Xenopus tropicalis: one gene and its partner. The protein of the gene in region 1 purifies or fractionates together with the protein of each later gene. This does not show direct contact. Links are inferred from orthologs where the notes say so. Each region holds a gene or a part of one and is shown in the gene's direction. Other genes may lie near its edges.

Region 1 (3,096 bases):
TATATTACACTTGTGTGGATATTTTTGTAGGTTTGTGAAAGCAAGCCTTTAATTAGTGCCTCTTCACCTGCTGTGGACTTAAAATTCATTGCAAGACTCAGTCAAGAGTGAATCGTAAATTGTCAATGTGGCTGCTCTGACAGCATTGGGACAAATAAACTGACCAGTTTGCATGTATTATGCTTCCTGTAGCACACAAAGAGCTGGATGAAGAAAGAGATTTTTAGTGAGCATCTAGAAATCAAAGTGTAGGTCATAACTCAACTAGGATATTTAAATATGCCTTTGCTTAATTCTAGGCTTATAGAATGCATATAATCAAAATAGATATGTTTTGGGCAGTATGGACAGTGAGGGCTTTTTCAAATCTTACTATGGACTGCTGCTATGTGCTAATTTTAATTTTAATCAGACTGCATTGCCCACAGGTCATACTATAAGCCTGTCTGTCTAGTTACTCTATATACAGTGGTGTGAAAAACTATTTCTTATTCTTTTGCATGTTTGTCACACTTAAATGTTTCTGCTCATCAAAAACCGTTAACTATTAGTCAAAGATAACATAATTGAACACAAAATGCAGTTTTTAAATGAAGGTTTACCTTTTTAAGGGAGAAAAAAAACTCTACATGGCCCTGTGTGAAAAAGTGATTGTTAAAAAATAACTTAACTGTGGTTTATCACACCTGAGTTCAATTTCTGTAGTCACCCCCAGGCCTGATTACTGCCACACCTGTTTCAATCAAGAAATCACTTAAATAGGAGCTACCTGACACAGAGAAGTAGACCAAAAGCACCTCAAAAGCTAGACATCATGCCAAGATCCAAAGAAATTGAGGAACAAATGAGAACAAAAGTAATTGAGATCTATCAGTCTGGTAAAGGTTATAAAGCCATTTCTAAAGCTTTGGGACTCCAGCGAACCACAGTGAGAGCCATTATCCACAAATGGCAAAAACATGGAACAGTGGTGAACCTTCCCAGGAGTGGCCGGCCGACCAAAATTACCCCAAGAGCGCAGAGAACTCATCCGAGAGGCCACAAAAGACCCCAGGACAACATCTAAAGAACTGCAGGCCTCACTTGCCTCAATTAAGGTCAGTGTTCACGACTCTACCATAAGAAAGAGACTGGGCAAAAACGGCCTGCATGGCAGATTTCCAAGGCGCAAACCACTTTTAAGCAAAAAGAACATTATGGCTCGTCTCAATTTTGCTAAAAAACATCTCAATGATTGCCAAGACTTTTGGGAAAATACCTTGTGGACCGACGAGACAAAAGTTGAACTTTTTGGAAGGTGCGTGTCCCGTTACATCTGGCGTAAAAGTAACACAGCATTTCAGAAAAAGAACATCATACCAACAGTAAAATATGGTGGTGGTAGTGTGATGGTCTGGGGTGGTTTTGCTGCTTCAGGACCTGGAAGGCTTGCTGTGATAGATGGAACCATGAATTCTACTGTCTACCAAAAAATCCTGAAGGAGAATGTCCGGCCATCTGTTCGTCAACTCAAGCTGAAGCGATCTTGGGTGCTGCAGCAGGACAATGACCCAAAACACACCAGCAAATCCACCTCTGAATGGCTGAAGAAAAACAAAATTAAGACTTTGGAGTGGCCTAGTCAAAGTCCTGACCTGAATCCTATTGAGATGTTGTGGCATGACCTTAAAAAGGCGGTTCATGCTAGAAAACCCTCAAATAAAGCTGAATTACAACAATTATGCAAAGATGAGTGGGCCTAAATTCCTCCAGAGCGCTGTAAAAGACTCGTTGCAAGTTATCACAAACGCTTGATTGCAGTTATTGCTGCTAAGGGTGGCCCAACCAGTTATTAGGTTCAGGGGGCAATTACTTTTTCACACAGGGCCATGTAGGTTTGGATTTTTTTTTCTCCCTAAATAATAAAAACCCTCATTTAAAAACTGCATTTTGTGTTTACTTGTGTTATCTTTGACTAATAGTTAAATGTGTTTGATGATCAGAAACATTTTGTGTGACAAACATGCAAAAGAATAAGAAATCAGGAAGGGGGCAAATAGTTTTTCACACCACTGTATAGGCAAGTTAGAAACCCCTTTTATAGGAGCATACAAAAGTTGCGCAACAAGAATGTCTTTATACTTTAAAAATATCCCCATTTGAACAATAAGAGGGGAGGTAAGGTGTGCACTGTATAGCTGGCCATACATGCACAGATATTATCAATACCTTGTTTTGTACGATATTCGGTGTGTGTATGGTGGGTCGAAGAGGTGACAGATATCACAAAGGCTGCGGATAGCTGTCATCTCGTCGATTGGCCATGTTAAAAGATTTTGATCGGGGCCATTGAAGGCGCCCAAGCAAAATCTACGTTTAGGGCTGAATCAGCAGGTGGAGGTAGAATTTCTATACTTCCATATCTGACGATTCAGCCCTGAACGTCAGTGGAGGGTGGGAACAAGCTAACCATTGGTATAGATTGTTATACTTTGAAATGTAATACTTTGTTGTATTTGGAGATTTGTAAGAAACTAGAAATACCCATGAAAGTATTTCTTCTTTGTTTATGCATCTAGGAAAGACATGTTTGTGCTTTATTGTAATAGAGCTTCACATATTGAGCCAACATGTTAAAACAGTTAGAATGCAGCTGGTTGAAAAAAAATGTAACTATTCAATGAACTGGTTGCTATGGCTATGGATTACTGCCCAGGTGCAAATTTGCCCAGTGTTAGTAAATGAGACAAACTGTTCTTAAACGTTTAAGGAGATTTTTTTTTTCTTTGCTCTTATTTTCTCTCTTCTGGTTTATTTTAGGATTGGCCCTTTGATGATGGAGCCCCACCTCCAACACAGATAGTTGATGATTGGCTAAACCTCTTGAAAACCAAATTCCGTGAGGAGGCTGGATGCTGCATTGCTGTTCACTGTGTGGCTGGACTTGGGAGGTATGTTCTCCAGCCACCCCCACATATTAATTTGGGGCAATCTCTATAACATAGCTTTGAACAGCCATCCACTGGAAATTCCCTAACCTAAGGCTTATGTCTGAAGTCTTTAAGAAGAGAAGTGGTTTAATCGTGGTTTAAAAAGTTCCAACCATAGTTACATTTA
Region 2 (3,495 bases), on another chromosome or scaffold:
TAGCACTAATCTGTCAGTATTTAGTCTCATGTTAAACTTGTGCTGAGCTGATGCTGGTGTGTGATTGCTACTGCAATGATCAGAGAAGCAAATCAGGTAAAAAGTAAAGTGTTTACTTGGCTTGAAACAGTTGTACCCCACGGTAATAAAAAGTGTTATTATTATTAGTATCCTTTGTTTATATAGCACTGACAATATATTCTGCAGAGATTACACATGAGTCCCTGCCCAGTTAAAGGAGAAGGAAAGGCAGAGTCACTTGGGGGTGCCAAAATGTTAGGCACCCCCAAGTGACTTTAATCGCTTACCTTGTACCCCGGGCTGATGCCCGTCAGGAGAAAACAGCACCAGCCCAGGGTACCTGCAGCGCTTCCTCCTTCTGGCTTCGTTTTCCGGCTAATTCCAGTGGCCGGCGCATGCGCAGTAGAGTGAAAAGCCGACTTCTCTGTTAAAGTTCCACTATTCACTCTACTGCGCATGCGCCAGCCCGGGGTACAAGGTAGGCGATTTAAGTCACTTGGGGTGCCTAACATTTTGGTACCACCAAGTGACTTTGCCTTTCCTTCTTCTTTAAATTTACAGTCTAAGGTCCCTGTCACATTCACACACACTAAGCTCAGTTTTATTAGAACCCAATTGACCTGCCTGTATGTGGTTCTTCCTCACTTATAACTGTCTGTGCTACATTGCCCCCATGCCATAGGCAATATCCTATGTTTTTATACAAATATATAGGAAAGCATAAATAGAGAGGGGCCAATATTTTAGTATTTTGGTTGGTAACAGTAATTGGTAAATACTGAATCCTGTCCCTTAAATTCAGGGTAGGGTAGAGACCCCCCCCCCCCCCCACAAAGATACACTGCAATGTTCTCAAGCTTCATAAATTCCATCACAAATTGTATATTCGCCCAGTGTGTCCTGACGTTTAACAGTCGAATAAAACTGAATGTAATGCAACATAGAACAAGTAAACTTTGGGGGCCAGTTACAGTATAGTTACATTCCCAAGCAGGGATGATTTTGATAAATAATCAAAAAAGTGAATATGGATGTGCTTTTCTTAAATCAGCCCCTTGGCTCTTTCTGTATGCTCTGTCCTACCCCATTACAATTTATTAGGGTTTCCTTTTTGTTTTGTGTTAATTTTACATTTTTTTAATTGTCTTTGTCATAGCAGAGAATAAATCTCCACCCCGTCCATGTGGATTGAACCATTCGGACTCTCTTAACAGAAGTGATAGAATTGACGCTGTGACGCCTACACTGGGAAATAGTAACAACCAGCTCAATGCTTCCTTCTTACAAGTCTATATCCCTGACTACTCTGTAAGAGCCATAACAGACATGCAGTTTGTTAAGGTATTCAACTTTTTTTTTATCCATTTTCAAATTCATAGATTAATAAAGTTCAACAAAACCACCAATCTTGGCTAGATCCGACCTTTGTTTAATTGCATGGCTATTTATTGTTATTTAAATGAATCCAAATACAGTTAGTACTGACAGTCCGCTTAATGGGTCACCATACTGTTGTGTTATTTTCTCCTATAGGGATTGTGATAATTTCCCCTTTCCCCTAGTCCTTCAATGAAGACATTACAAACACAGCATACAATTTTAGGGTGGCAACCTGGCCATCTTAAGATACCATAACCCTCCAGTTGTGTTATGATGGTTTTATAAGAGACTAGCAGGGATTATGGCCTAGTTGTCAGACTATACCTGTCTAAATTGACTAAAGATGAAATTCTCTGGGTTTAACAGGTAAAAGCCCTCAGTATAGGTATTTTGCAGTACCTAGCATAAGTCATCAGGAATCTGGAAACCACCCTAAGCAAATATGTGCTGCGGAGAATGGCAGTGTTTGTTAAAAACCATCTGCCATAAATTTCATCAAGTTGTAAAAGTATTTTTTTCTTCAATCATATCCCGAAATACAAAGTAACCAGTATCCAAGATACTTCTAAATTTCCCAGGGCCAAGTGCTTCTTAGTGCCAAAGTACCACTGCCATAGCCAATTCACAAAGCAAATGGGAAAGAAAACTTTGCCTGTCAGTCATTTTAAAAGGGCAAATCAACAAGCACTTAGGGTTAGGGATGCTCCTGATACCCCAACTCTTCACAAACAATTTGGCTCAACACTGAATCCAAACCCAATTTTGTATTAGTAAATCGAGGGCAGAGTAGTAACCAATAGCAGCCACTCTTTTGCTCTCATTCATCTAAGGGCAATGAAAGACAGAGATATATTAACCGAAGGTCAGACTCCAGAAACTTGATACTTTGGATAATAAAAAAGTATAAGAGGTTTTATTAGAGGAAATTTTTGGTAAGTCTACATATCTTCATGTTGCTGTCTCTAAGTTATGGAACCCTTTTCTGTTTGTCTGCAAATTAGATCACAAGGCAGCAGTACCAAAATGCATTAATGGCTTCACGCATGGACAAAACGCCTCAATCCTCAGACAGTGAGAACACTAAAATAGATATGACTCTTACCGAGCTACACGACGGCTTAGCAGATGAAACAGCAAATCTGTTAAACGAACAGAACTGTGTCACACACAACAAGTCCAACCACAGTATGCACAATGAAGGTCCGATTTGAGGGGGTTCAGCCCAGCTCATTGACATTCAGGACTGTCCTCACTTCATTCTCAAGCTTCCTTCCCGGATTCCTGTCTGTGCAACTGCAAACACCTTGAGTACAAGCTCATGCCGAGTGCCACCCAGCATTCTGAGACCAAAGATTCTGAGCCCAGCGGTGGCAGGAACCGAAGTACTTAAAACAGGAGCAGGAGAGAGACATCAGGAATAAAGCAAATAGTAATAAATAAAACTAGGGATTGGTGAGTGAGACCAAAAAAGATGATCATCAAACAAAATAAGATACTGTTTTACCCCCCTTATTGACTCGTGGCATGGTTTGATATCATAATTGGACCAATCACAATGCAGAAATCACTACTGCAATATTATGGTTGGTTGTCAAAAACTCAGGCCTTAAATACATGTTAGCCTGGTTCTCATAAACCCCAAAGTGACTGGCTCGATTCATCCGAAATTCTTCTGTCCATGGGAAATTTCAGCCAAAAAATGACGATATAGGTACTTTGGTGTTTAAAAATCAGATGTTATGGGGTAGTTAATGGTTTCCCTTTTTTCCATCTCACTAGGAGTCGTTTATTCTTGCATTGACAAGCGGAAACCTGTAAGAGTACGGGTTGTTGTTATTCTTCTTTAGCAGAAAATTGTTTTTGCTCTTACATGTTATGTCTTACATGTTATGTTTTTTTCTCTGGTTTATACTTTAAAAGTAGACCTCATTGGCTACCCAAGTTCATTAGGTTTTCTTCTAATTGTATTCAGCTGATATCACTGTACTCTGAGCAAACATAAGATATACATCTTATAGCTCGTTACAGTGGACTAACCCAAAGATATGTCAGTTTTAATTCATATTTTTTTCTGTTTTCCCCAGAAAAGAAAGA

What was found. The genes of interacting proteins can lie anywhere in the genome.
Region 2: the proteins of ptp4a2 (region 1) and cnnm2 purify together in Homo sapiens (affinity purification with mass spectrometry; 4 studies listed by BioGRID and IntAct, counting the BioPlex papers as one, with this or other methods). This does not show direct contact. The link is inferred for Xenopus tropicalis from reciprocal best matches to the Homo sapiens genes PTP4A2 and CNNM2.

Annotation. Positions count from the first base shown.
Region 1 is NC_030678.2:86,680,594-86,683,689, forward strand, and holds part of ptp4a2 (protein tyrosine phosphatase type IVA 2), read left to right. Parts: intron 1-2,799; coding exon 2,800-2,930; intron 2,931-3,096.
Region 2 is NC_030683.2:28,751,355-28,754,849, reverse strand, and holds the end of cnnm2 (metal transporter CNNM2 precursor), read left to right. Parts: intron 1-1,177; coding exon 1,178-1,362; intron 1,363-2,402; coding exon 2,403-2,612; 3' UTR 2,613-2,871; downstream 2,872-3,495.